Caenorhabditis elegans: one gene and its partners. The protein of the gene in region 1 interacts with the protein of each later gene in a pairwise test. Each region holds a gene or a part of one and is shown in the gene's direction. Other genes may lie near its edges. The genes, in order: nhr-22, irx-1, lsl-1 and mxl-3.

Evidence for each region.
Region 2: the proteins of nhr-22 (region 1) and irx-1 interact in a two-hybrid assay, tested with the Caenorhabditis elegans proteins (one large-scale study listed by BioGRID).
Region 3: the proteins of nhr-22 (region 1) and lsl-1 interact in a two-hybrid assay, tested with the Caenorhabditis elegans proteins (one large-scale study listed by BioGRID).
Region 4: the proteins of nhr-22 (region 1) and mxl-3 interact in a two-hybrid assay, tested with the Caenorhabditis elegans proteins (one large-scale study listed by BioGRID).

What each region holds. Positions count from the first base shown.
Region 1 is NC_003280.10:6,442,956-6,451,740, reverse strand, and holds nhr-22 (Nuclear hormone receptor family member nhr-22), read left to right. Parts: upstream 1-1,948; 5' UTR 1,949-1,952; coding exon 1,953-2,297; intron 2,298-3,175; coding exon 3,176-3,338; intron 3,339-3,426; coding exon 3,427-3,558; intron 3,559-3,994; coding exon 3,995-4,392; intron 4,393-4,440; coding exon 4,441-4,637; intron 4,638-4,684; coding exon 4,685-4,816; intron 4,817-4,864; coding exon 4,865-4,980; intron 4,981-5,026; coding exon 5,027-5,178; intron 5,179-5,224; coding exon 5,225-5,319; intron 5,320-5,370; coding exon 5,371-5,380; 3' UTR 5,381-5,546; downstream 5,547-8,785. Other genes in the region: atg-16.2 (Autophagic-related protein 16.2), read left to right, coding at 1-16, 488-578; K06A1.2 (uncharacterized protein), read right to left, coding at 5,607-5,766, 5,811-5,875, 5,920-5,995, 6,048-6,124, 6,173-6,376, 6,424-6,591, 6,637-6,723, 6,764-6,871 and 3 more; cutl-16 (ZP domain-containing protein), read right to left, coding at 8,143-8,330, 8,593-8,785. UniProt on the Caenorhabditis elegans protein: Orphan nuclear receptor.
Region 2 is NC_003279.8:9,534,786-9,544,087, reverse strand, and holds irx-1 (Putative iroquois-class homeodomain protein irx-1), read left to right. Parts: upstream 1-3,121; 5' UTR 3,122-3,202; coding exon 3,203-3,223; intron 3,224-3,755; coding exon 3,756-4,217; intron 4,218-4,417; exon of another isoform or gene 4,418-4,557; intron 4,558-4,812; coding exon 4,813-5,172; intron 5,173-5,672; coding exon 5,673-5,883; intron 5,884-6,889; coding exon 6,890-6,969; 3' UTR 6,970-7,623; downstream 7,624-9,302. Other genes in the region: C41G7.7 (uncharacterized protein), read left to right, coding at 9,026-9,046, 9,093-9,204.
Region 3 is NC_003279.8:9,898,684-9,905,231, forward strand, and holds lsl-1 (C2H2-type domain-containing protein), read left to right. Parts: upstream 1-2,595; coding exon 2,596-2,661; intron 2,662-2,708; coding exon 2,709-2,793; intron 2,794-2,840; coding exon 2,841-3,081; intron 3,082-3,317; coding exon 3,318-3,584; intron 3,585-3,747; coding exon 3,748-3,856; intron 3,857-3,906; coding exon 3,907-4,005; intron 4,006-4,053; coding exon 4,054-4,143; 3' UTR 4,144-4,246; downstream 4,247-6,548. Other genes in the region: Mitogen-activated protein kinase kinase kinase mom-4, read right to left, coding at 1-38, 652-778, 1,196-1,275, 1,321-1,419, 1,523-1,689, 1,848-1,916; Zinc finger protein ztf-11, read right to left, coding at 5,713-6,060, 6,416-6,494, 6,545-6,548.
Region 4 is NC_003284.9:13,348,143-13,354,320, reverse strand, and holds mxl-3 (Protein mxl-3), read left to right. Parts: upstream 1-3,516; 5' UTR 3,517-3,530; coding exon 3,531-3,623; intron 3,624-3,674; coding exon 3,675-3,948; intron 3,949-4,000; coding exon 4,001-4,145; intron 4,146-4,200; coding exon 4,201-4,396; 3' UTR 4,397-4,682; downstream 4,683-6,178. UniProt on the Caenorhabditis elegans protein: Transcription factor which regulates the expression of genes involved in lipid metabolism in response to nutrient availability. Binds to the E-box motif 5'-CACGTG-3'.

The sequences.
Region 1 (8,785 bases):
AAACTGCGAGATCAGAGTGAGTGAAATTAAGAAACGATATTACAAAAAAGTGTTTCAAAAATGTTTCAAAATTTTTTGTTAGAATTAATCAAAAATGTGATATTATAGAATATAGAATTTTTGTTACCATCATTAGCCAGACGCAAAAGTTAGCGATTTTAGTTCCAAAGGTACAGCACCTGCCCTCGACACGATATATTTCAGTTAATTGCGAAAAGGCGTGCGCCTTTAAAGAGTACTGCGGAATTTTAATTTCTAAATCTTTCGATAAAACTACACTTAAATAAAAACTTTGAAAAAATGTAAAAAAATATGGCAGCAACAAGCGTTTAAAGTTACAGTACTCTTAAAAGATGAATATGTATTTAATAAAAAATTATCGTTTCGAGATACCGTAATTTTGAATGAAAATCGAAAACTTGGGAAATTAAATCCGCTTCCAGAGTACAATGCCCCAATTCTGCTCTCAAAAATGTTTTTTTTTCAGTTCGGCTCAAATAATGTCTCTGGCATGGAATCCGTCAGGCCGAGGTCTTCTAGCTTGTGATCGTCAGAAGACTTGTACACTCTGGAGATGATCTTCAATGTATGAAATTGAATATAATTGTACAGAATCATCATCTGTGTTATAAATGTGCATATCCATTTTTAAAAAAATAGTTTTACCCGCGTTTTTCATGTTTTCTTTCAGATTTTTCATTATGAACATTCGTTTGAAATAGAAAAAAATTGTATGATATTTATACATTTTAATTTAAACCGGTAATCCTCAAAAAATGCCTGAATATTACAAATTCTGTGTTATCACCACCTATCCCTTGTATTCTATGAACATAAAATGCACATTTTCTTATCATTTCACCTGGTTGGCTGACTGACAGTCGTTTGGAAACATTCGAGTTTTCTTAAATTTTCTATAGTTTCTGATGCTAACCTATGAAAATCAGTTCAAAATGATGACAAGAATACAGGAAATTAATAATTTCTGTTCCCGCAGCATGATGATATTTTTTGCCGATGAATAGTCCTAATTCTTCGTCATTGAAAAAAATTTGCTCCTTTCGATCTGAATTTGAAAAAAGTTTATTAAAAAAAGTATATTTCAAATATTAATGATTTCTGATTATTCTGCATTGCCAGGAAAATATTTTCATATAAACTTGTGAAAAGATGTCAATTTCTGAAAACAATTCGGCCAGTTTTCTGAAGCAGTATTTTACATATCTTCCAGGGTTCAAAAGATTAGTACTCTCAATGAGTCGCAGACAGCTTAGTTGTTTTTTCTTTCGTATTAATATACTTACATTTTCTTTTATCTCTAATTCTCTTACATCCACCTTTTCCGCAATCTCTGCCACTGTCGGCGATCTCTTGTTCTCGCACGTTTCTCTCTAATTCTATAACGAACGTAAATCTTTATTCTCTCTATTATTTTTATATATATTTGTGTGAAATATTCAAAACTTGAGTATTTAAATTTTTTGAAAAACCATAAGTTCAATGTGATAATTTGAAATTTTCCCATCACGTTTTCGATTAGACAGAATGAAGTTTCCGTTCCAGTGACTATAAATAGGCGAAATTTAATTGAAAATAGTTTTGCATTATTTTCAAACCACAGACTTTTTATTCATACATATATTTGAAAATATTAATTCAGTGAATTGCAAATTTAAAACTCACATTTCTTTAAAATTAATGAATCAATTTTCTATCTCTTGCCGTAACAAATAAATAAATCCATATATTAATATCTTCTCCCCTTTGTCCAGCCAATTTCTCATCTCCTCCAATTAGCCTCTTCCCACCTTTCTCTCTTCTTCATTTTCCCCCAATTCTGTTCTTATCAGTACTAACCTTGTTCGGTCCTTTCTCTCTCTAACCTCTCTCTTCTCTTTTTCTTACTCTCTACCATTGCCGCACACCTCCATTCATTTTCACTTTAATCAAATATGTCTACGGACCTTCTCTATGAATATTTCTATCCACCTACCGATTTATTCAAAAATACTTTTGAAGACGTACCACCATCTCCTGAGTCTCTGGACGTTGGTGATTCGTTAGGATCATCTCCATCTTACGATCTTGGATTCCAACCATCATTCGATATTGACTTCTGCATTTGGAAAGAGGGATCTTCATCACCTCCACCGGAATCGAATCATCTCCCAGAGATTGTAAATAAAGCTTCAACATCTCCACGTGGAATGCCATCTCCATTAACTGACAGTCGAAGTTGTCATGTCTGTTCATCTCCCACTGCCAATACTCTACATTTTGGAGGTCGTTCTTGTAAGGTAAGCAATATGATCAAGAAAAAAATATTTCTCGTATCAATTATTAATTAGCACTACTCCGAAAAAATGAACATTTTTTGTTTTTACAAGTGTTGTACTTTCGTTGTTGTTGTACAATATACATTTTTTGTTTTCTGGATAACAATTGAATTTGCATCGGACATTATTACCCAGGCCCACGGTATCCTGCCTCAGCGCAACATATTTTTGTTAAATTCGAAACGTTGTGCGTCTTTGAAGAGTACTGTAATTTCAAACTTTTATCATATTTTTTATCATTCAAACTCGTAAAATCAACATTTCTAGACTTGAATTTTTGTTCTAAAAACACCGATAAACCGTTGGTTTCATTAGTGATAATTGTGAAAAAAGGTCCTAAAGTATTTTAAGGCGTAATAATATAACTATGCTTTGAAAATGTGCCAAAATTTGTAACATGCTCGCCACGTGTTTTTATTGTTATCCTGTGTTATCTAGAAGTGTATTGTAGTCAGGTATTTTCTTTTTCCGTCTGCGTATTTCGACGAAACATCACTTATTTTTGTGGCCATTTGTGGTATGTGTCTCACACTATTTGTTTTTGTAGTCTTAAGTGTAGCTAGAATGACAATAGAAGATCTTCATCTGATCGGATGTTTGAACACACCACAGTACAGTTCCTGTTTAGAAACTAGCTCCTTTTGACCAAGTTTTGTATGATAATCTTACTGAAAACCACGAACAAATAGAAAAAGTTGTTGATAACGTACATCACACTTTGCATGCTTTATGTTTAAATAAAGAGAAAATGAAAAGTACAATTTGCATCACTAATACCTCCGGAAACATGTTTCTCACAATTTAATTGGAATAAATTTAATAAATGAGCATATTTTCAGGCATGTGCAGCATTTTTCCGAAGAAGTGTTTCAATGTCAATGACTTACGAATGCATTGGCACTGGAGATGACACAAATCCGTGTAGAACCCATTACGAGCTCAGAATGATATGCCGTCACTGTCGGTTCATCAAATGTTTAGATGCCGGAATGCGCAGAGAACGTGAGTGATCATTGACAAGGTCATTTGTCACATGTTCAATTGGCCAAAAAGTCCGAGGTACAAAAAACAGTAATTTGTTGTTTTGCAGTGGTGCAAGCGAGAAAAGAAGAGACGAGAGTTGCAAAACGACGTTCCAAGGGATTGGTTGTATCGAAAAAGGAAGATGACGATGTTGAATCTTCGTATGATGAGTATGTAAATACATATACAAATGTTCAAGGTTAGTTTCTAATTTATTTCGAAAATATTTTTGAAGCCCTCGACTGGGAAATTTTTTAAACCCTCTCCTATGGTAATAAAATTCCTAAGTATAACAGTTTAACGTTTCAAAAAATTTTTTAAATTTTTTAGTTACCGTCAAAAGTGGGCAAAACTCAGTTTTCATCTATCACAGTTTTTGGAAGTTGACCAAAAAAAATATTTATCTACAAGTCCTTTTTTTTACAGCGTTTTAATTGTTTTAATTGGAAAAATTCCAGGGTTCCAACTTGTAACAATTTCTACAATTTTTTGAAAATTTGGCAATTCACCAAAACTGAGGTTTTTTAAACTCTTAATCTTTTTGGAAAGTTTTTATGAGATTCGGTTATGTTAGAGTATTATAAGTGTATCTATCCCGACTGACGATACTTTAATAATACCATTTGTTGTTTCAGATTCGAGCCCGAAAATGGAATCAGGGATTAATGAAATGACGATTCCTGAGTCATACCTTTCACCGGATCCTTCATCTTCTCAACCACTTGATATGACAGTAACACCTCCACCACTGCACCGTTCAACTCCATCCATACTTCTTACTCCAGCAACTGGTGACCGTATGCACTGTCAACGTGTGCTTTCCAATTCTCCTCCATTCGATATACACCAGGCAAGCACCAGCCATGCAGGATTTATTCAACATGTACAGTTCTACCCAGTCGTTGAAGTTGAAAATAAAATTTTCGAATTAGTTGATCATTATGTAAGAACAGAAGCTTCATTGAATGATCGAAGGAAAATAATGTACACGGATACTCAGATAAGAGATGTTTTCGATACAACTTGTGAATGTGTGAGTTTTCAATGCACCATATCCATTTCTCACAATATTCTCTTTCAGCCCTACGAAAATCATCAGCTGAAACCTTTCAACTATAAATCATTTTGCGGATTTGTAAAGCACGACTTTGTTATGATTCTTGATTACGTGAATCAATTTCCGGAGTTTCAAGCTTTACACAAAAATGACAAAAATGTGGTCTATCGAATGGCTTGCGCCGTAGATTCAATGCTTGCATCTGCCTATTATAGCTATAAGTGAGTATTTAATGTTCAAAAATTAGATTCAGTCAGTTTTTCTACAGAGTTGGAATAGAAAAAGAACGTCTAATACTTTTCAATGGTGACTATATCAATATGAATCCGATTCCAATAAGTGGAGATGAGCCAGGCGCGGGAACAGAGTTTCAAACCCCGCAAGAACATGAAAAGTACAAGTGAGTTTGCTAAACTTTTTTAAATCTCAGTAAATTGTTATCTTGCAGAACCCTAATGCCACTGAAGCTAAAACAATATTTCGATCTGGCAATTCCGTTCGCTCGACTAGAAGTCTCATTTGAAGAATACGTACTTCTGAAAGCTCTCATAATTTGGCAAATCAGTAAGTAAATAATATCTACAGTAAAGTTTTAAAATTCTCGTTTCAGGTAACTATCGGTTACTAGAGGAGGGACGAGCAATTTGTGCACGGCAACGAGACACAATAGTTCAAGCCTTGCATAAAGTAGTTGAAGAACGAGGTGATGAGGATCCAGCTATTCGAGTTGGTCAGCTTCTTCTGAGCATGAGCTATATAACGGTTGGTTCCATCATCAATTTGTTATGAAAAATTAAATGAGTTTCAGGAGCAAGTACAAGCAATGACAAACTCTTACCTTGTAATGACTTTCTTTGATGTTGTATCCTGTGATAGTATAATGTACGACTTACTATCTTTCAGGTAACAAAATTCTAATAATTTCAAAGTTTAAATGTTATCAAATTATTTCAGAGACGACTGAAACAACCATCGTGAAGGTTCTACTTCATTCATCTGACTTTTAACGACTATTAACTTACATAGCTTTATCGCGTAGCTTTTGTATTTAAAATTGTGACATTTTGTTTATATTCTGTGATTTTCTTTTTTTGCCATATTCGTTCAAACTCTCAATTCAGATCTTTCAAAACATGTGTAAAATTGAACTCATTTCAGTTGTATTGATATACATTTAATAATTAAAAAATTTATTCAACACTTGACACATGACTAGGGCTATAAGAAGTCACCGAATCATCCACATAAACCGGAAGAACGAAATATTGCCAATGCGATTGTGGAACCAAATATGGTTTGCTCCAAAGACGTTGCAAGTCACCCGTTGGTGGAGTCGAGTCAAGAGGAAACCTGAAATAGAATGGATTAGAGATTATTGAGAACTATGAATTCACCATTCAATAAGAATATTGTGATTCAACGTTGGAGATTCAGCTCTAGTACATTGCTCGACTTCTATCTGAAATTTCGACTGTTTTTGGTAGCTCTAGATGTAGTTTTCACCGAAATTTCTTTGCCGGGAGGAATCAAAAACTTCGATGGATACAACTTGTAGAAGCCAGTGGTTGACAACAGAGCTCTACAAAAAATGAACTGTATTTAAAATAACCAGAATAATTTTCGCTGCAGACCTCAACGCCAACCAATCATTGTTCCTATTGTTCTTCACATTCAATATAGACAATCCAAGCCGTGGGACATGGAATGGCTGAAAATAAAATAATGTTGCAATATATTTCACTTTAATCATTCTCACTCTCGGATGGATATATGTCATTTCATTAAACTCGCTCTCGATTCTCGTCTCACCAGATTGAGTACTCAGAATAGTTGGAGCCACCTGGCTTGGGGTCTCCTCGCTGATTCGTGGAATTGGATCAATATTAGGCTTCAATTTACTGAGCAGGTATGTTTGGATGACAAGCAACATATGATAAACCAAAATGAAGAAGTGTGACAGCTGAATCAGAAGTTTCGTTCAATGTTGGAATAAGGCTATCGGAATACCATAAACTGCCAAATTGCTCCATTTAGTCTACAATAGCCAGGTTCATGATCTTTGTGCCAGAGACAAACTGTAGAAAGAAAGCATTCATAAACAAATATTGGGACTGTAATCAGCTTGAAAATAGCAAGGAAGAGTGCACCAAACTTGTTGATATACTTTCGATCTTTCTGAAAATTAAAAGATATGGAATGGACTAGAATTAAAAAACTTACAACATAAATGAATAAAGAAAAATCGAAAATGAAGAATATCAAGGGAAATGAGAAATATAAAGATGGACCGATTCCAGCATCGAAAATCTAAATTAATTTGGTTGGCCTGTGATTACTGGCGTTTTACCTGATACAAGAAGTGCCGTGGTGTTGTGAAAACTCCTTTTGGATGTTTCATGCAAACTTTTCGAAATGGAAAGTATATGGTTACCAATGATAGAAGGAGGAATAGTGACTGAATAAATGTTTTCTGGAATAAACTATACATTAAATCCCAACCTTTGCCCATAAAATAGTCGTCATTCTACTCTCCTCTGGTATCACAATATTATATTTCGGTAAATATTTCACTGATTTCATATAGAATGTGACTAGCAGAAGAACCACACACGAGAGCCCAACATGACCAAAGACTAGCCACCAAACTTGGGACATTGTCCATAATTGTGTCAACTCGGCCATTTTTCGCTTCTCCGGAGCACATATTTTGGGTGAACTTGATGAAGTACAGCAACAATGGGTATCTCTTGCTGGAAATGGAATGTTGAAAATAATATAATTTATTTCAAATTTACCATCACCCAGGCAAACTGATGACTCGTCAGTTTTGTTAAGCAAAACAGCACAAGAAAGTGTTGAAAGTTTTGAAGGTTTTTGAGAACAATCAAATCTTTCAATATCTCCTTCTGATGTGGCATGGAAATGAGAAAAGCATATGTCAGACGTGCACTGGTTATTTCCATTTTGATTGTTAATGCACTGGTTCGAAGATCCCGAGGATAAGGATCTGAAATTTTTACTATTTCTGAGATATCCACGCAGGACGTGAAATGGTTGCATCTGACTTCCAGTCGGTCTACCCGCGTGCCTACTGCTAAAGTACATGTAAAAACAAACTTTCAGCAATAAAAACTTTAGTGAGACGTTTGTAAATCTACACCGCGCAAAATTCAAAATGACATCAGCCACGAGAGAGACAGAGGCAGGCAGGTATGAGATTTGCCTGTGCTCCTGGAAACAGATAAGAAATTTATAAACTCACAAACTACATAAAACAAAGACGATAACTTTTAGCATGCTGGGAAACTCAAAAATGATCTTTCTTTTTTGTTTTACGTGGTTTTTGTTTTATTTTTGAAATATGAACACGTAGAGCTTATATGAACTATCACGGTAAAATTACAAATAATAAGATTCTATTTATATATTAAAAAAAAACAATTCGACATTCATTTTTCAACTTTAAACGCTGAAATTGGCACGGAGATAACATATCATTCAGAAATCACAAATCAAAAACAAAAAGATGGAATAGTTGTTATAATTAATAGGAAAATTATTCGAAAACAACCCATTTTGGCAGGAAAATATGTAAGGCTGATGAAATGAGAACAGAATAAAGCATTTGAAGAAGGGATTTTGGGGAAACATTTACACGCAACGGAAAGGTCTTCTGAGGATTATGGAAATTGAAAGAAGTCTAGAAATGAAAGATCTTATAGAAAGTTATGGAAGAACTTGAAACCGTGGGTTCTTTTTTGCTGTATAGCAAAGTGCTCCAAATGTGATTGAGACTGCAAAGAGAATGACTCCGAGAAGAAGCCATAAAACTGCATATGGTAAGCAGACTGCTTTCATTGGGACTTCTTCTTGTGATGATGATTGTTGTTCTTGTGGTGATGGTAAATCAGCAGCTAAAAACTTTGATGTATCTTCATGTTTCTAATAAATTTCGAGTATGAAAACTGTTCTGGAAACTCTCTGTGGCTATAAGGAACGTGTTACCTATCTTGAAAGCGACCTACTCGTATTTCGATCAACAAATCACGATCCTTACATTACACTGGACGCAGGCTACCTTTCACAAAAGACGCAGCATGCCTTGTGGACATTTTTGAACTAACTAGATCATTCTAGCTATAACGCATAAAATATATACAAGTACCAAAGTCTTACCAAATGCACTATCCAAAATTGTGATATCTGATGACACATCAACATCCGTTGCATCTCTTCGTTTTATCTCTCTTTTTGTTGTTCTTGGTCCTTCAGATGAAGTCATATGTTGAGCTTCCGCATGTGCAGGTGAACCTTCAGAAATCTCAATTCCAGATCCTTCAGCATCTTCCCACACGGTATTGTTACTTTT
Region 2 (9,302 bases), on another chromosome or scaffold:
AAACACGCATTGTGCAAGTGCACATTTCCTGTGAGCTGCGTCAACGGACACAATCATTTCGATTTTTCCGGTTGATAATGACATCAAAGCAGATTTGAATCATCCGAATCATTTTCCATAATTTTTAGTTTGAAATTTTCAATTGGTACAGAACACTTTTTGTGCTCAATTACTGTAGTTTGATCATCTAATACAAGTTGTGGTGCCAACGAGCGAACGATAATGCTCACTTTCCCATCACTCTGACTGTGTTAAGCGTCGATAATCTGAGACAAACATATCGTTAACACGGATTGTCAAGTGTTTGAACATTTCTTTCCTCGCGCTCTTCGTGTACAGGAAACATACACAAAACACACAATTTCACTTTTTTTGCGCCCCTCGGCTCCATACATCGTTTTTCGACAACGGCAATTCATGTTCCTTTGCGCAAAAACAATGTGATATTAGATTGTTCTCCCTCTCGTAAATACCAACTTTTATGAATATATATCGTCCCGCGTATCAGTCTTATCTCATCAATTCCTACTACAGGTATTGACGATGTTAACAGTTGGGTTACTGTTCCACGTATATAACATGACATAAATTTCCATATTATATAGCAAGATCAGATTAAGATATATTGTTGTACCATCTGAAATATCCCACCTGCTAAAGTTCTTCCAGTTCATGCCCCTTTTTGTAGACACGTGTCATGATGTATGAGTTGATCGATGTGTTTTGGTACAATGGCAAGAAGGTGTCTCTACCAGCTGTTAGAATAAGAACTGTAATTATAGATATGGCAATGTATTCAAAAACACTCTCGTACTTATATTATGGGTATCATAGAGATTATTGCAACTTTAATAGAGTTGTATACTGGCAGACAATTTTTCTATATCTGCTCTTGGTTAAAACAAAGTAATAATCCGAATGCTCGGTATTCAAGTAGTAAATTCAATATAGAAACTTTTCATTTTCATAAAAAAACGCGATGAAAAGTTTATGATAGCAGGTTTTGCTCTTGATTTTTCTGGATTAACGGTCTTTAAATTTTTTTAGTGACAAAGCTATAAAAAACAACGGCGGCAAAGAAAATCCCTAAAAATTATACCAAATGTTTTTAGCTTGAAGCTTTTAAACTTTTAAAAGGGAAAAGCCTTGCGTGTTTGGATCATTTCAAGTTTCTTCGTTGAAAAATACCCCATTTATGAGTTAGGAAAACCACTATTTTGGAAGTTCTTAAAAATCAACAAATGTTCTTCAATCTCTTGGGTACATTCAACTTCTTCTTCACCGTCGAATTCAACTCTTCTCCCGCTTTTTTCGATTAAACGGAACGCTTAACTTTTCCGTTAATTACCTCCAAGTATTTCCTTTCTGCAACCACTACCGTATTCCATGTATTTAACAAAAAAGTGAGCAGTGTTTTCACAAAAAACAACACCGCTCTCTGGAAAGCACCAAAACCCATTAACTAGTTGCTTCTTCTACTTCAATTCCACAGCTTCATCATCTTCTGGCTCCAGCTCCTCATAAATTGTGCCGCGACCTCATGTCTACACCCTCCTACCTCCCGTGTTCCTCCCCCGGCGATTGACTCCGCCCAATGACTCCTCCTCCATCGCTTTCTCATCATCGTTTGACATCAATCTCCCTACCATACACCTTTTTGTCTTGTTTGGCTCATATGTACCTACATCTTCCTGTATTAGTACAAACTTCCGCCATTGAACTTTTTTTGTTGCAACTTTATGTTACTATATATGTGTTGTTGTTACATGTTGTAATAACTAAATGATCGAATGACCCAAAGAGAGATGTTAACACAATAACTGACACAATAGTAAATGTATTACACCGTGTCCTCTTTTTTTACCTTTTTCTTCTCCATTTTCTTTTTCTTCATCATCGTCATCAGCGCCATCGTTGGCCACTTACTCTCGCCGGCGCCCCCTATCCAGCAGCTACACTTCTTTACACCCCGCTTCGGACAACAAGAGACATGCCATTTTAAACTTCTATTCTCTCAATTCTTGTCCCCCTACAAACCGTTCTGACCATTACCTAATTGCTTCTACGATGTATCATTCTTGACTTAAGTTCACTGATTTCAGCTTCTTCTCCTTTGTCCTTTTTTTGTTCGTGGCGCCATTGTGTGTTCGGGTCATTTGATAGTACTCTCTAGATTTTCCGTCGTTTTACTTTTTAACTTTCAAATGTTTATACTTTTTTTCTCTTCATCCTGCCAATATTTCGGATTAAACTCTATGCAATGATCCTTCCAAAGCTTCCTCTTCCCGTTATTTGCTTCAATTTTCAGTTTCCATTCGTGAGCCAGCCAGCAAATTTACAACTTGTTTGCTCTTCGTCCTTGTGAATACATTTATTGAGATTTTTGGTTCTTGTATTTCTTAATTTTCATTCCCAAACTTGATAATTGGTAGAGGTAGAGAGGTATTAGGTTCGAAAGATTTTTTTTGCACAAAAATAACAATTCTAGAATCAAACTTGGAAATAATAACACTAAACAATGAAATAGTAAGATATCAAAACCATCATCATTCTTACAATCATTAGCTGGAACGGTTAATTGTTTATCTTTCAATCTCTTTTAGTTGCCATATCATCAATTTGTTTTCTTTCCGTTCGATTCTTGTATCCTTCATCATCATCTTCTTCTACTTCTCTTTACTCCGATTCTTTTCCGTTTCTCTTCGTGAATTTCTCCGGTTTATCTTGTTAAATCTACGTGTTCGCACGTGTTTTTTGCGCTTCTTCAATTTCTTTCCCTACTCTCCAGGCCCCGCCCTGTGGCTTCCATGTCTATTGGATGGTGGGCGGGACTTGAGAGAGAGAGAGAGACACACACGGCCCCGGGCGGGCATCTGCAGAAAATCGAGATTGCTCAACAAGTTGTTGAACATAAGGTCCCACATAGTTCTACATCATCTCAATTTCTTCAAGAATTATCAATCAAACCTTTTCTCTTTCTCTTCTATGCTTATCACTGAATCGCTCCTCCTTTGCTCCCTCTTGATTTCGTCGCCTCTCTGCCTCTCTCTCACTCTCTCTGTCTATCTTTTTCAACAAAAAACTGCTCTGGAATTATAACTGATATCAATGTGTTCTTCAGATCATAAATAATCATACTTATCAACTATTGTTTCTGCACTTGTACTGAGATCAACACATCTACTTCTACTACACCATCACAATGATTCCTATTGCCAATCAGGTCAGTTTTTAAGCGATAAGTTTAATAAGCTAAATTATAATTTCTATATTCTCAAGTAGTGTTCTTACATTTATTTATTTCATTTTTGTCCTTCTTGACACTTGGAGTCAACTTCCTGCTCTTTCCAATTGCCATGTTAACCTTGCACCGCCACTGCTTGGCGGTTTATATCTCGGTTGCCTTCAGCTTTATCAAAAAGTGTTATACAACCAAAACATAGAAAATTATTTTGCAAGTAAATTGTCCGTTTGAAGTTTTTTAATAAAACCACAAAGAACTGAGATATAAACTGTCAAAGTGAAGGAAGAGGGGGGTGCAAGTCTAATATAGAAAATTGCAGTTGAGAAGTTGTCAAAGCTTGGACAAGGTTTTCGTTTTCGATTCCTACCAATTTTTACATAAATCTTAGATTAGACAACATTTGAACACAGTCTCAAAATACTTCCTTCCAAAAAATTTAGATGCCAAATGTCAGATTTATTCGTTTGGATACCTTCACTTCACCTGACTAGAAAAGTAAATCCATTTCCAGGTCAAAATGGAAGAGCCCACAACACCACAAACAACGACTCCTGCTCCACCCACTTCAGCTCCGGATGCACTTCGCGGAATTCTGCCACCAAACCTTTTAGGTCAATTTCATTTCCATCCTGCCATGGCTCAAGTTCTCGCTGCTCAAGCTCAAGCCGCCGCCGCCGCTCAACAAGCAACTCTTGCTGGCTTCCCCGGAGTTCCGATGTTTCCACATGGAATTCCAGCAGATCTGAAACCAGAAATGTTATTAGGTGGAGGGCCAGGACCGATGCCCATGTTCTTCAGTGATGCTCATCGTTTATATCATCCATATGGTTTAGATGGAATCAAGAAAAGAAATGCAACACGAGAAGCAACTGCACCACTCAAAGATTGGCTTCATTCTCATAGAAAGAATCCATATCCATCAAAAGCTGATAAAGTTATGTTGGCAGTTGGTACAGGAATGACACTTACACAGGTATGTTGTATTATTTCTTGTTTTGACAACAATTAGTAAATGCAACACTGTGAAATGATTTAATAGCCGTAATAGCCTATTACCAACCGTAATCTCGTAATTTACTCCACAATATTTGCTCAATTTATTAGCTCACACGGGATTTTAGAGCCGCCTCTAGTCATCAATTACAAATACCACAAAAAATATTGTTGTAAAATGTAGTAGACAGTGTTTCCCGCAGTGTTATTGTAACATTAGCCACTCACCGGCCATCAAACCCCGGGGGCAAATGTCTCCTTTTTTGACCGATGCCAAAAAAAGAGGGGCGAGAAACAAAAGATGTACAGAGGCGATAAGCGATGATGATGACACCTCGTACCCCGCTTAATTAATGTGTTTCGAGAGACATTCTTTACACAATACGAGAAATGTTTCAAACCAAATAGGGCTACTACTTGTTTGATTTTGTTGCAATAGACCAACAACACACAACCTTGGCGCCAAAAATTAGATTTTAAAATTGTTTGAACCAAAACTTTGAAGTTATTTTATTAAAATAAACTCTAGCCCGAAAAACAAAGCCGAAGCTTGAAATTTATATTTTTAATTACAGGTCTCGACATGGTTTGCTAACGCCAGAAGACGACTGAAGAAGGAGAACAAGATGACTTGGTCACCACAAAATCGACGAGGCGATGGTTGTGATGACGATGAAGACGACGATGATGATGACATGAACCGTCCATCAAGCTCAACATCCATAAATTCCGAAAGAAAAGGAGAATCCCTATTCGGAAAGCCACATCTAGCATCACCAACGCCTTCGGGAGGATCTGGAGGATCAGATGAGTTGACAACACCGAAGAAAGAACTAGTATCCCCAATTCCAAATGATGATTCTGAAAGTCCGAAGCGTAAACCAAAAATGTGGTCGATTGCCGATGTCACTTCAGATGACGATTCATCAAAGAAGGTGAGAGCAAAAAAGTTTAGATCATAAAATACATTGTACAGATTTTATAGTTTTCCCCATCTTCCCTCTTATTCTAACAGTTTTACGAAATGGACTTAAAAACTATTATATGTTTAGTAGGGGCAAATAAAGAGTCCTCCTCTCCCTTCATCTTGTTCTGCACATTTTATAGAGATGTAAACTAGTATGAATCATTTGTATGTGTGTATGTGCAAACTTGTGAGGTGAGTGTGAAGCAGCCGACAAAACTGTGCCGCTTTAACAACAAACATGATTGAATGATGGTTTTATACATTTTCATAAAGTACATTAAGGAATTGATGGGAGATCAGGGGGTCATATTGTAAAGTTTAGGCATGGGTTACTGTACTTGGAAGATACATTGAAGCATACAGCAGTGCCTTTTGGCAGCTTATATTTTTCATAAAGTTGTTAAAGTGAAGTAATTTAGTTCAAGATGATGAATAATGGTAACCCCTAGCAAACATCTTTTTATTTAGGATTCTCCACCATCATCAGACGAAAATCTATTAACGGGAAGCTTGTTCCAAAACGCAATGAAAAAACAAATGGAAGTAATGGCACGATTGGATCCAACTTTGTTCCGTCACACAATGCACCCATTCATGTTCCAACTTCTAGCCCAACAAGCTGCTCAAGGGCAACAACTTGCACTTTTGGCACCACAAACAACTCCTCCAAATGAAGCAGGTGAGGTGAGCAGGTGAATACACTTTTCTTACATTTTGTTACATGGCAACCTGTCTGCTTTTTCTTATCATTCTTTTTTTGGGTATTCCGAATGATTGACAGCTAGTTGAACACCGTGCGTGCTTGTACATGAACAAGAAAAGTCGAAACGTAATCCTCTTAATTTTAAAGTTGTTATCCTGTCGTGACGCTCAGTTTTTTTGCTATTTAATGCACTAATCATCCCATATTTACTGATAATAGGTGTATGTTTTCTGATACACATTATAAGGGGAAAGTTCAGTAGCTACAGCTTCTAGATAGGCATTAACAAAAGAGGGTCTACACTTAAGTTCTAGATCCTTTTCAAATGTTTTAGCTCAGAAAGAGGAGTTCTTTTCTATGTAATAATTTTGTTCGAAACGTCAAAGGCAACGAAAAAGGGCTTAAACTGAAGTAAGTGTCTCCTCATTGACCCCACGGATTAGTGTGCTCGTTTTTCTAAACCGCGTGTTCTTCGTCACTCAGTTTTTGTCCAAAAAAGGAGCGCTGCTCCCGGAGTCAAGTCACCGAATGATAAATTGCCGATTTGATCCGTTCGTATAGTTGATGGGAAACACTTTCTTATAACTTATTGAACATGTAAAAGCAATTCTAGTTGACCAATATGGGGAAAAACTAGAAAGCCTAGTCTTATTTGAAACGTTGAACTGAAATTTCTCAGAGCATTCCTTCAAATACAAGCATGTCAAGCTGCTCTAAATCCGGATTTTACATTATTTTAGTGATTTTAAGGTTGTTTAGATGCAAAAAACATTCTGAAAGCTTTTTGGAGATTTTAATAATTTTCAAAAAATCAGATCATTTTTCACACAACTCAATCTTAAAACTTTCAAAAACTAAAAATTTCAAAAACTTTTGAAATATAGCTTAATTGACTTGGTGCCTAGGTTTATTGCAATATACAATATTTAAAAAATCTTTGAACAATTTTTAAGCCTTGATTTTAATGAATAAATAATTTCAGGTCTGAACTCTCAAGCGGAGACGTCGACGCCATCTCCAGCATCTTCTCCAACGTCGTCTCCACGGTCCCACCAAGAGTAGAAACCCCAGCTTATTAAGTTTAATTTTTTTAAATGAATATTGTACTCTCTCAAAGTTTCACCTCCTCCACTAAGAACTCTGAAATCGAGAAAATATGATATAAACAGCGGGTCTTTGAATTTCATTTTTTTCTCCATCCCATTTAAGTTTCGATTATTTTGGTCTCTCTCTATGTACAGTACAGTATTGTCTCCCAAATATTCACATCCCATCAAAAATTTCATTCGGTTACTGTAGCACCATATAGGCTTTTTCTTTCTCATTCATTTGCTTTTTTATGTTCTTTTAAACTTTATATGAATTCCATGACTATGAATTTTTTGTCTCTCTTTCTCTATTTTTTCCCCCAATTTCTCCCAGTTTTTTCTCACATTATTAACATTATTATTATTTCAATTCCACACAATTTTTCACAGGATGCATCTAGTTTTTGAGCTTATGATCGGTTTTCTCAATTTCCCGCCAATAATTGGAGTACTTTAGAAACAATTTTCTTTTTTTCTTGCTTTTTCCCACCAATTCGCTTCAAATCTCTTCACGCAAACCCACTTTTCTTACAATCCCATCTCATTTCTTTGACAATTTACAGTTTTTTGTGAGAAAGATACAACAACCTGCACGCATAATTTAGAAAATGAAGAAGGTTTAATATTTATTTCTTGAATATATTTTAAGCTAACAAAAAATCATGAAAATGGATATACATTTAATTGCACAAAATACTGCAACCATTTCAAAGAATTGCAGGCTGAATTAGTGACAACATTTCGGTTATCAAGAACGTGCACTTTTAAAGTAATTTTGAGCATTGCTTCATGTTCAAAAACATAGAATTTTTAAAACACAAATGGTTATAGAAACAAAATTAAAAACGTATAAAACTGGTTGATGATATATTTTTTTTGGTCGACTGTCAAATTATGATTGGTAAAACTAAGTTATCACCACATTTTGGCTGTAAATAAAAATTTCTGAAAAGGTTCACAATGATATTTAGACGTTTTAGCGTTTTTTTTTTAAATTTCCACTTAAAAATTCAATTGAAGTCTTTTTAGTTTATTTTCCCATTACTGTTTTTTGCCGACCTCTTGAAATTTAGGGGATGTGTAAATGTAGACATATGTACATTTTGGAAGCTTTTTTTAAAAAGAAATATCATGATTCTTAAAAAATCTGATAAAATAAATAAATTTCCACTTGATAAAAAAATTCCAGATTATGTATTGTCTTGTTAAATGTTTTGACCTACTATTTACAAAGCGTAGTTTCAAATTAATGTGAAAAATGAATCAGTGAAAACAAAAACAGCAGATTTCATTCATTAGACACACACACACACACCATATCTCTAAAAACAAGGAATTACATGCATTTTCTCTTTATTTTTCCACATCTCGGTGACCCATGTAAACGCCTAATTGAAAATGAGATACGACAACGACGTCTAAACAAACATCGGTGAAGCTTAGAAAACAATGAATTTGTGTTGTCTGGATTCTTGGAAAATTTGGAAATGAGACAAAACCAAATTTGCCACCTTTATATTTAATGTTCCACATTTTAGAACTGTTTCAAAAAATATAATTTTTAATCGTGGATTCTAATTTCAGATAACATAATGCAATAAAGGCAGAATGTGCTTTAAATCGTTTGAAATAATCGCATTATTCCAAAATACAAAAAAAAAAGAAAAAATATTTAGGCACAATACCGGAATCTCATTTTGCATCTTTGAAAATTAAAAAATCTTCTCAAAATGTTTTCAAATCTTTAGTTAACTGTTTTAAACACTTGCTATTATCAATTAAACTTGTAGAAATCAATACCTGAAATACCTGAAAATGTGGTATTTTTCTATGCTGTATTTGCTTTTATCCTTCAACATTTCAAAGTTTCTTTCTTTTTTCCATTATTCATGACTATACAATTTGGAAAAGCATGAGCAAGTGAATTGTCTCTATGGATACATCCTGCGCATTTGAGCACATAAAATATTTTTCAAGAAATCCTTTCACCATTCTTTCTTTTTCATTATTTGTTCAAAAACATCTCAAAAATGTCAAACGTTGACCGATATGTAAGTTACCCGCTTAATTTAATTTTTACTAATTTTAAATTTTCAGGATGTTCACCGGGATGGTATTGAGAAAGATCGAAAAAGGTCTCGAAGCCGAAAACCTCATCAAAATGGTCAAAGCCAGTCAACTATGGATAACCGTCCTCCATGGAATAATGGTAATCAATGCATTATAATGGGATTTTATTTATTTATATAACTCCCGAAATTTGTAAATAGCAAATATAAAAAAAATTGTTTTATTTCTAGTTCATAT
Region 3 (6,548 bases), on another chromosome or scaffold:
ATAATTTCATTGTTCGATATCGATCAGAGAGAAGCATGCTGAAATTATTTTGATTGACCACAGTAGGTGATTTAATTTTAATTTTGAAAACTGACCGCTAAAGATTTCTGATAATTTATTGAAATTTGAAAAGCTACAAAAATTAAGAAATTCCTCATTTTTACTTTTAAAATGGCTTTTTAAAATTATTTTCATATGATTAGTTCTTCTTGGAGGATATTTTTAAATCCACTTTGAAATATTATTTTTTAAAAATGATTTTTTTTAGATTTTACACATTATTTTGTGGACCAATTTTCAAGGAACTTTTTGCTTAAAAAAATAAAAAAAATAGCTCACACAAAAATGTAGAACCCTTTAAAATTAATTTTTCGAATGTCTAAAAATGGATTCGAAACATTTCTGCTTTTCTGTACTAAATTCACTTAAAATTTCAAAAGATTTTGTTGAATTTTTCTAAAATCTAAATTGTTAAATTGACAGGATCTCCGCCATTAATTCTTTCAACTTTTAAAAAATTTACCTAATATATTAGCTAATAGTAAAGAAAAAAATTTCAATATTTTTCTGTTAATTTTCAAAAATCACTGAAAACATCTTCACATCCAACATATATATTTCTTTCAATAATTTCTGCTATCAAAAACTCACTTTTGAAGTTTCAAATCTCTGTGAACTTGGCTGTTGGAATGGAAAAAATCGACGGCGGATGATAGTTGAAACATCCATGAAGCCACATGATCAATTGTATAATTAATGTGTGTTCTGTCGTAGAGTACTGAAAAAAAAATAGATTTTTCAGCTAAATTTTATTTTGGAGAATTGCCTCATTGAAATGAATTTTTAATTTCGTAAAAAACAGGGTTTGGAGAATTTAAAGCGATTTTTTTAAGACTAAAAATGGAAAAAAAAAACCAAATAGCATTTTTTTTGTTCAAAATTATAGTGAAATTTTTTTTGCCAGATTTTTCGTGTTACAGCGTCCATATATTGATTTTTATTCAGTTTCTTCCATATTTTGCAGTATAATCCGCTTTTTTGATGTATTTTAATATATTTTTAGCTGATAGAAATTTCTGTTCCTATTGCCGAAAAAATGTAGTTTAATTCGCTAAGAAACACGGAATAAACCGACAAAATGTTAAAAAATTTGGCGAAATCGGGGATTTTCACTAAATTTAAATGAAAATCTCACAATCGGCCATGCTTCCACAATCCATATATTCCATAACGACTCCTTGCCCATTCCGAGGGCTTTTGTACAGTCCATAAATTCTGAAAAACTTCTATTTTCAGTATTTTCCATTTATAAAAACATACTTTATAATATTAGGATGATTTCTGAGATCCCACATAACTTTTGCTTCTCTTATAAGAGTTGCCATATGAAGTTGAGAAGAATATTTGATTGCTGCTGGCCTGAAAATAATATTTTGGTGATTTTATTGATTTTTTGTTAACTTTTGATAATTCCTCATGCTTTAAAAGAATTAAATTTAAATTTTTGAAGCTAGAAACGAACCTAAAGTCATCCTGCCTAGTTTTTCTATATCTTGTTTTCTCAACCAATCCATAAGTGCCTTTTCCGAGATAATGACTATTTAAATTATCAATACATTGTGCTTGAATTTCGGGAATATCAATTGTTGAGCACAATCCGGAATCTCGTGTTGTTCGTTGTGTTGGTGTCTGAATTTATTAATTTATTGAGTTTTCAGTGATTTTTATTGATAGTTTTGGTAAAAGCAGGCTTTATACGTCTTCAACTGATTTTTTTAAAAATTAAATACAATACTGTTTTTACAAGAAAACGTTATTTTTCTTTACTCAAAATCCATTAAACTTACAATTGCGGCAGGACTTGGCGAATGACTGGACGAACTACTAGACGGTTTGCTCTGTGACGAATTGTCCATTTCAGAGCCGAAACGGTGAAAAAAATGGTGATGGGCGGCAAAGGACAGGAACTGGCATGTGTTGTGTGTGTATACTCTTTCTCTCGCTCAGTGGAAACGATATAGTGCACAAGTAGAAGAAACTGCAGACGAATAACAAAATAGACCAACGGGACACAGACAGATTTCCGATTTAGACAAGGAAGAATGATGATTTTAAAGAAGTTACTGTAGCATGGCTGAAAATTGTTTTGATAAATACATAAAATTCAATTGCGCAGGTTTTACAGAAAATTCAAAATAAAGAATAATTGAATGTTTTAAGTTCTGAAAAGTAAAGAAATTACACAACGGGGAAGAAGTATGGAAATTTATTCAAATTATATTTGTATAAAAAATACAAAGATCGAAAATGTTCTAATTTTCTGTTCTTCTGTTCTAAACTAATTTTGTTAAATATATAAATAATGTTTTCAGCTTAATTCGAAATTGCAGAAACAATTCTTTGTTGGGGACACTGTGCTCAAAGGCGCATGACGCAACGAAACTTTTGGGTCTCACCACGAAACTGTCAAACACGGTAATCCTAAAATTTAGAGAAGCTGTCAATTAATTTATGAGTTTTGTTTGTCTTAATTTTATGTTTAAACCAACAAATTGTCTGCATTTTTTCTTCAAAAAATTTTATTTTTTACTTCAGATGTCAATTATTGATGACCGAACGGATCCATCTTACGACGGCGAGGACTACGAAGCTTCTATAACGGTATTTTATTTCGATTCTTATTTTTAAGATTATTGAAATGTTTCTAGTTCGGAACCTATCAACAAGAAGAAGTCGCCCCGTTTGCTGTTCATCAGTGTAATGTGTGTAATAAAATGTTTATGAATTATAAAGGTTATTCGCATAAAAATAGAAAGCTGAAATAAAAAAAAACATTTCAGGTCTCCAACAGCACTCTGTGATTCATACCGACACCAAACCATACATCTGCGATGTTTGTGGCCGAGGATTCCGATACAAATCGAATATGTTCGAGCATCGTACCGTTCACACCGGCTATACCCCTTATGTGTGTCCATTTTGTGGAAAACAGTTCCGATTGAAAGGAAACATGAAAAAGCACATGCGAACTCATGTGACAAGCAAAGAAGAGTTGGAAGCTGCTTATAGACCATATTCGAGGTTGGCAATCGGTCGACCCTTCACCTTCACAAATAGTTCGTGGTACGTATATTATACATTGGACGTACAATAAATATGTTATTCACATTGCATTGCACGAATTTTAAGAACTTCGTCCATTATATTATGTGAATAATACATTTATTGTACGTCCACCGTATAATACACGAACCACGAATTATATGTGTTGTACGAGGGGAATTCTGATATCTATCTCGTCTTAAAAATGATTTCAGCAATCGGCGTTCGTCTGGAATTATTCCGTCCGATGCTCTAGTCATTCGTGGGACATCGATGCCCTATTACAATCCAGAGAAGAAGCGATCGGTTCCGAAACTTTTATTGGGTAAAGATCCTTCAAAATGGGTTGATATGATCTGCCGAAACCAGCTTATCCCACTATCTTCATTTGACGATAAAATCATGAGAGCTACAATGCGATTGACTAACTGTCACATGGCATCCGATGTTCTAGAACAAGCTAAACCACTCGAGTTTGAGATGTAAGTTTCAATTCAATTTGAAATTACAGTACTCTTTAAAGGCGCACGCCCTTTTGTATTTTACAAAAAAAGAAGACGTGAAAAGACCAGCGTTTGTATTTTTACCGCAAATTATTATAATTATTGTCTTACTAATATCCCATGCAAAATCTGAAAATTACAGCTTTCGATGCCCAATTTGCAAGTGCGAATGTAGTGGAAGAGAGGATTGTCAACTGCATATGTATGCTTCTCATGATAAGAAAGAAGCTGAAGAACCAAATTATTGCACGGTAAATAATTGAAAATTAAATCTTGAATATCCTGTAAACTTTATTTTCAGAAATGCATGAGAGTATTCGCCGACGTAGATATGTATCGTCAACACCAAAGCTATCATTCTCGTGTTCAATTGATGATTCGTAATAATGAACTTGAAATGGTGAGTTGTTAAATATTGCTAATTCTTAATTGTATTATTTTGTTTCAGGGCTCTCCAGAAGTCGATATCTCTCAAATCTGCTACAGTATGATCACTAACACTGAAAATGAGATGAACATTCTAAAACCATCAGCATAGTTTTTCCCCTGAATTTTCCCCACATCCCTGTCTTTCTAACGCCCGTGTAATTGTTTTGTTCTGTTGCACTTGTTCCTTTCATTTTTATGAAGTTTTCATTTTGAAAATATGAATGGAAGACAAAATACAACAAACGTTGGATGATGGCAAAGTTTTTTAAGGAAGGAAGTAAAAAAGAAGCATAAAGGAGTTGGGAAATTCACAATTAAAGCACAACCAAAGCAGGACAAGGTGAAGAAAAAGACAATTTGGGGGAATGTTTGAATGGTAAAGCTGTGATAATGAGAGAAGATGATTTCTGATTTTAAGACATTTAATACACAGGGTTGGGGATATCAATGATACTTCTTTTAATTTGGAAAAACAACCAATTTCAGATTCTAGAATATAAATTACATTTATGAGACACACGTTTTGAATATCCCTCTCGCGGGGGAACAAAAAAAGATTTGAGGGAATCGGGAACACACAGAGAAAGAGCAGATGTTTTCGGAGAAAGCCGGGAAAAAAAAGTATGAAGAAGTGAGAGACGCAGACGAAAAGCAGTGCAGGTGGCTCATTAAAGAGGTAAACGAGTTGAGGTGGTGCATATTGATACTTTAAGATTATATGTTTGACGGATTTGAAGGTGTTTTGAAAACTAGAAAGCGGGGAGTTTTTTGAATTTGAAATGGAAGAGAAAGAGGAGAAAACTAGGCCAGCATTTGCTTTGTGGATTTACGAGCGATTTAACTATTACGGGAGCACAATATTCTGAGAAAACATGTTTGACGTGCAAAATATTTCGTAGTGAAAACTACAGTAATTCTTTAAATGACTACTGTAGCTCTTATGTCGATTTCCGGGCTCGATTTTTCTTTCAATATTCGAAAAAAAAATAATTCAAAAAATCGAGCCCGTAAATCGACACAAGAGCTACAGTAGTCATTTTAAGAATTACTGCAGTTTTCGCTACGAGATATGTTGCGCGGCTCAGAATGTTGTAATCTCGTAATATATAAGTAGTTTCCAATGTTTCTTGCAAGTTTTAGCGTTAAAATTGCATCAATTTCAGAAAATAGCCTTAAGTACACATCGGAATATTATTTGCAAGTTTCATTTTTCAATTTCCTCTTCCATTTCAATATTCTTTAGCAAAAAAAAGGTCGAGTGAACAATAAATAAACTAATTGTAAGGACCGTTTCCCCCTAACATATTGTCCAATTCACTTGATTGAGTATTTCTAAGAAAGGTCAATGACCGAAAAGTAACTGGCAAACTCTCAACTACTGTCATTTTTGGTGCAAACGGTGCAATCTGGCGACATCTGCCACTTCTTAATACGGTCTCTCTCTCTCTTCGCTCCACGATGCTTGATTGATGATGACCACCGGGCTGCTGGTGCTGCCCGAGAGAGCACACAGATTTGAGAGGAGTAGAGATAAATCAGTTTGAAAGAATAGATTGAGGAGAGTGAGGGATAAAAGAAAAAACTATTTGAATAAAGAAGGAATGTATTGAGTTTCTGAACACAAATGTGAATCAATCGGTAATGTGAAAACTAGAAATAAATACGATTTTTTAAAAACTTAAAACCCTTGCTGCATTTGCAATTGTGTCAGCATGATTTGAGCAAGTAGAGCACTTTGATTTCCGAAAAGAGCCGCTTGTGGGGAATACTGAGGGAATGGCACTTGTGGGGCAGTCATTTTGAGAAGAGCCTCCGAGAATCCAGGCATTTGAAGGAGCATTTGAGATGTTGGGGAGCTCTTTTCCGCGGAGCCAGGAGCAACTGGAGCAGCAACAGGTCTTGATGGTGTTGATTGAATCTCTGGGATCACGGATGGAACAGGTGACTCGCATTTAACTTCTTCTTCTTCTTTAATAAGAGTTGGAATATCATCTGATGTTGTTTCAACGTCAACTTCCATCTCGTTCTGAAATAAATTACCGTTAAGATTAAAAGATAAAGTGACTTTGGTAAGTTTTTCAAATCTTCACAACTGCCCATTTCGGATCAAAAATTAATATAGAAAAATGGAAAAATATCTGATTGATTCGGAAATAATCTTCATTTTCTTGGGAAATTTGGAAACTGGAGGAAGTTGTCATTTACCAAAAAACTGTCTTAGAATTTTTTTTCGGTAAAGGACAGTTTGAGAAAGTTTTTCAGGTCTTTAAAGTAATTTTTATGAGCATTTTCCCAAAACTTTTAAATAAAATTATTTTCAGAGAGTACAAATATTCCTCAATTAAAAACTTCTCAGAATCAAATGTTATAAATTATTGTACCTCTTTCTTTGACTCCTCTTCCAATGTAGCAAGTGGTTGTGTTTGAGAGAATTGTTGGAAGAGAGCATCCATCATTTGACTGAAAATTCAATTTTATAGAAACTGTTTATTGAGAATGAAATAGAATACCTTG
Region 4 (6,178 bases), on another chromosome or scaffold:
AGGCTACAACAACATTGAAATATACCCGTTGAATTATTTTTATTAGCACGGCCCCCAATATCCAATTGCACTATGATGAATCAGTTGAAACAAGTAGGGAAAAACATAATTCTGAATACAGTTGATTATTGACTGCAAAACCGGCTAGACAATTCCATCAACATATTTGTTTTAATCATATTTTTTAGGGACCTCAACTAATTACGAAGGCTACTGATAGCAAATCGTGGAGAGTGAATGTTTAATTTATGAAATTTTTTCATTCAAATAAAGTTGTAACCGTGTTTTTCCACATTGTGTTAGCATATTATACACAATTTTTAAAGCTAAGATTGAATTTCATGCACTTTCTTTTTGACATAGACATTTTAAAAGATAATTTCTCATAATATTAATAATCAGTCATGCTTCCCCACAGGTGCAAATCATTTTGACCCCGTCAGTCTCTTGAGCGACTACGATATAGGCGCGCTCTTTCTATTTGCCACTACCGCGTTGATACACAATGTAGTCACACTTACTCACGTCGCAACGAGGAGGACCGATCGCGAATTGTTCTCTGTTCACTCGAATTAGTTATACGAGTTTCATCTCTTCCTTTCAATTCACTCTCCTCTTTCAATTGGGTTCATTGCTGAGTGTTTTGTGATTTTTCGATGAACACGCGTACCGCACGTGAAGTGTTGATCATGCGGAGAAATGTCAACTGTACGTTTCTTAAAAGATACTCTATTTTCACTAATGTGCACTGATCAGAAGCAGGAAAGTAGTAGAATCGACGTAGCAAGTCAAGGTGTATTCGGGGATCAACGAAACAACTGGACCAATATATGCTCTTTGATCACGTTGGGATCGAAATTGAAAGAGAATGAATTTTACATCCACCCTCATTTAATCTGTTGAGGGTGTGGATTAGTGTAAATTCCAAGCAATCAGATGACTGCCAAATAGGGGATAAGTTGGCTTAAAAATTAAGAAAAGCTTAGAAAACCACTTTCAAATAGATTAATATATTAACTTAATTGGTATAAAAATGCAATTTCTTTGCGCTCTAAAGTTTGGCGAAAAAACAAATCTTTGATTCATAGCCTTTAATAAATAAGTTTTCAGATTGCATTGAAACAATTAGAATCACATGGTTTAGACACAATTCAAAAATCCAGTCAAGATTGATTCATCCGCACTATAAAATAAAATATTTATAATCATTCACGAGCTTTGCCATAAAATATCTGTATCTAGAGTAGCAGTACTGAAATTGCAAATGGTGGCAAAACTAAGAGTATCCATATGTGTATTTGATTAACTTGTGGTACAATGCATAATTAGCAATGGTTTTGCTTGATTGTAGCGGTTAAATGCCGGTTTCACGAAACCTAAATGTGGTTAATCCAAGGTATATTCAAATATTAAACTTTTGTATTTTTTATTCCGTGTTTACCCGATTACATTCATTTTAGATTTGATTCATTCTCTCGATTCAAGAAAAAAAAACAAAGAAAAACAAGGATTTCTAAAAGAAAACCCAGCTCTATTTGAAATCTTTTTCCCAAATTCCTGGTAATGTACAGCACGGCGGTTTTATCTTTCCAGAGCTACTCCCTCGAAGAAATCTGAGTTGATCCAGAGAGATTAGTGGTTAACGTTTAGATAACACACTTGATCGAACAAGCCGCCACCACGCTGTTTTTCGGATTATTGATATATAGTTGTGATTTTCAACAGATTAGCAAAGGATTTTGTAAAGCTTATCGTCAGCGTGCTTTTTTCTTTTAATTTTTTGCACGAGCAAGACACCCACCCTCGCTTTGTGCAAATGACCCTAGTTCATTTGAACTATAATATTATTGAAATTTCCAATCAAAGTCCATATCACTAAATTCTGTAGATACTGTACAACATCCGAATTGTGAAATCTGATCGTTCTTGGCGCGAAATCATATTCACCCCCTACGTTAGCCCAAAGTACGATCACATTTCTATCGCAGTCGTCTAAAATCAAAATCAATTCAGGGTTCATTAAGTGAGCGTCGCATGACCTACGTGATAGAGCAATTAAACTGAAAAACCCAAACGTTCGATGTCTAAAAATATCATTCCAGAGAAATGAAATACATTTTCAGTAGACCTATGTGCTAGAAAATGTGGAAAAAATTATCATACCACCACCATGACTATTGACAGTGAAAAAAGAGATTTTAAAACTGCAAAAAAGTTTTAAAAATTTAGTTATTAAAGAATTGAATCTGACATTACTCCAAGTCTTACAGAGTTATGTAGCGTTATGTAGGGCGAAAATTTGAAATGATCTGTTGTTATAATTGTAGTGAAACATATATTTTGATGTTCTTCTTTCTTAGTATGATAATCTGCGATTTTTTGTAGGAACGAATTTATTTTTGGTTGAAAGTCAACGACTACAAGGAATTCGAATATATGTTGGCCGTTAATACATTTTTATTTTAGAGGAAGTTTGCCTTTTGACTCAAATTTTTTTCTGTAAAACAACAACACATGTTTAATTTGTTTACAACGTTTAGCTACAGTCCCCTAGGCCACACACTGCTGAAAGAAAAAAAAACAAAAGTAACTAACAAGTTTGGGGTCATAGTACACCAAGTTGTTTGTTTGCAAAGTTTTTTGCCTGAGTCTGTTCACTCCTAGAGGTGTACGGTACTGTTGACACCACCATACATCATTCGGAAGTAATTTGACCTACATTTTGAGCTCACTCAATGTTATCAGAGGTCTTTGTGCGTTGCACACATCACGATGCACGCACACTAAGTCAAGGCAGCCAAGGAAACAAAGTTTCGGGTATTTTTTGTCGTCAAGAAATGAACACGGCACGTGAAGGCGCATGTGAATGAGAGGATGCGTTGCACCCGACCGTCACCATCGAAATTAAAATTGAGCTACGCATTCTTTGAGTGTTTGCACTTTTTGACATCCCCGTGTTGCCATATTTGTGCTTCTCCCAATCAAATTGCTTCTTTGCTGACATCCTCAGAATTTCTTCCAAAACATTTGTTCCTTGTACCCTCTCAAGGAATGCTTCATCTTGATCCTTCCCACAAACGCATGCTACCCTTACGAGATCCCCGCAAGATTCACATGATTTCAGTGATCGGTTGACAAAATGGGGGAAGGCTATAACCTTCTGCTCCAAAACATGGGCGGAGCTACAGAGCTTATATCAAAGAGCGCCACTTCTCCGGGCACCCTAGCACCCACAGTGGCTGAGGTGCAAAGAACACACGCTGACCGCGTGTTGGAGGCGGCGCGTCGACTCCTCCCTTTCTGTCAGACAGAACGCCCCTTTTCCTATATCTTCCTTCTCGCATTGCAGATCATACCACAGTTAACGACACCCTCGAAGATGGTCGCATGGCTCTTTTACATATTTTTTGTTTAATTGTGTATTTGTTTTTGTTTGTGATAATTTTCACTTACAGTATTCTTATATAACCTTCTCTTAAAATTGATATTTCATTGCTATATATATTAAATTTACAGTCAACATCTCTACCATGTCCGCAATCGTTGAAGACATGTACTTGCTTTCTTCATCCATGAAAATGGAAAAACAATTCCGCAAACGCCATCACTCGGATTCTTCCGATGTAAGTTAAACTTCTGTTGTACCCTTATTTTACTAATTGTTCTTTTTCCAGGACGATTCTTCAAGCCCGAAGTCGGCTTCTCCATCCATGGATGATGACCGTCGTGCACATCACAACGAACTTGAACGCAGAAGACGTGACCATATCAAAGATCACTTCACCATTCTTAAGGATGCCATTCCACTGCTTGATGGGGAGAAATCGTCGCGAGCCCTGATCCTGAAACGAGCAGTTGAGTTCATCCATGTCATGCAAACTAAGCTCAGTAGTCAAGGAAAAGCCATTGAAGATCTCACAAGGAAAAACGAGCTTCTTGAGGAAAGGCGTAAGTTACATGGATATCTAGTGGATTCATGAGCTCAATTTCTAATTTTCAGTGCTCGAACGCGAGTCTTCCGGTTCTCCATCTTCCTCTCGGCTTCCAGCTCTTGCTGTTAGCTCAAGCCAAATGCAGCTCACCATGCCAATTATCCCACAGATGCAAAACATTGCACAGCTGTCTCAATACCCACAACAAGCAAAGTAAGTAAACAAATAAATTGTTCCGAATCTGATTTTAACAATTAAGTATTTTCAGTATAATTGCTCAATCCACAAACCCAGCTCAATTAGATGGGCTTATTGCTCTTAACAATGATGCCATCTTGGCTTTACTCGGAAGCTTTCAAAGCGTGAGCCCATCGCTTTTGGATTCTGCACCTGGTACTCCACCTTCTGGCTTTTATCCTTGTGCATTTTCTCCGGTTGATCAACAAATGGCAGTGAAAATCTAAAAACCTTCAAAAAGGCTTTTTTATTTCTTAGATACCCCCACCCTTCGAATTCTCTAATATTTTTTGATCTCATTTACTCGGTCGTCATGAACCCTTCTTCGGACATTCCAAACATCCATTCGGTTTCTCCGGACATACATGGGTTTCACGTGTACTTTAAGAATTGCCTGCTTGATCTGACAATATATTATTTCAGTTTTTTTTACTCACTGATTTGTTCCAGTTATGATATCTTATTTATTGATAATGCCGATAATAAATACTGATAATAAATATTTATATCAACATTTTTTCAACACCAGTAAAACACATTGCAAAAAATTAAAATTTATAAAGGCACCCAATAGAAAGTCTTTCAGCTACCGTAGTTCTTTGCTGCAAAGTAAACAGGTTGTTACTTTTCTTGTCAACTTTATTTAATGGTCAATATACGCGTCAGTAGTCGTATACTTTAAGGATTTTTACAGAAAAAATATTTATGTCTATTCCTCTGGACTTTTGCATGGGGAAAAGATTTGGATTTTAGTAGTGGTCATTTTTATAGAATTGAAATGATGAAAACAATGCTTTTTACCACTTACAAATTAGAGTAACTATTTTCCATTATACATAACAGAGATCTGCGACAAATTTGCCGAAATTGCCCAGCAAGAGAAATTTCCAAAAAGTGGGTTTGCCAAATCTGCCGAGATCGGTAAACTTTGAAATTTGCCACACACATCACAAATTCGACTAACATAATTTGACCGGAACCATTGATTTTGCTCCAAAACTTCTAGTTAAGTAACATGTAAGCAAGACTTGTACGCAGATAGACCACACGGATCTTGTGAAAAAATCAAAAGTATGCTTAGAATTCACCATTTTTGGTGCCCCATACAATATCAAAAATTATCACATTTTTTCGAGCTTTTCCGGCAAATTTGCCGAATTTGCCGAGTTTGGCATATACTAGAAAAAAGAGCTCGGCAAATTTTCATTTTTGCCGCACACCCCTGGTAGATCTAAAAAAATCTGAATACACATAGCACTACATTGAAAGCCAAAAATCTTTGGAATAGGTTTGCTGTTTTGAAATAGGTCGTTTATTGCACTTTGCTCCTGCAATTCTAAACAAGCATGCTCTAAAACATGATATCAACTCAAAAAGTACACGGTACAGTGCTCTAACGTTTTGTTGTAGTCAAATCATATTTCATCACGTATCCAAAAAAAACCGCTCTATTCCACTTTTCTTTCTTTATAATGTGTGTTCTCTGAGGCCATTTCGTAAAACAATATGCGAGGCATATCATCACACGTGTCATCAAATGACTTGATGATATGATTGGTTCAAAATATCAAATGCGAGAATCGCATCGTAAGCCAACGGAAAAATAGTTGTTTCAATTCAAAACACACTTGAGAGAACGAGGACAGTTCACTGAACAACTCAACATTGAACCTTCAAGGAGGAATATCGAAGATCGCTGGGAGTTTGTCAATGAAATATGACGAATATGTTGTGATACAGATTTATCAAGTTTTGCAGTTGTTCTTATTTTCAAGAAAAAAAGCCTTCTGAGAAATTATATAAAATTTACGTTTTATGAGGACCGAATTGTTCGGGGAGAATCAAAAACTTTAGCATCTTTCCCAGGGTGCGCGGCAATAAGACATTTTTGGCAGATGGACATTTTGTCAATTCCTAAAATTAACAGGGTTTGCTAAGAATTGACAATTGTTAAAAAAAAAAACGTCAAAAGTTGTTAACTGCATAAGTTTCACAGTTACTTCTACAAT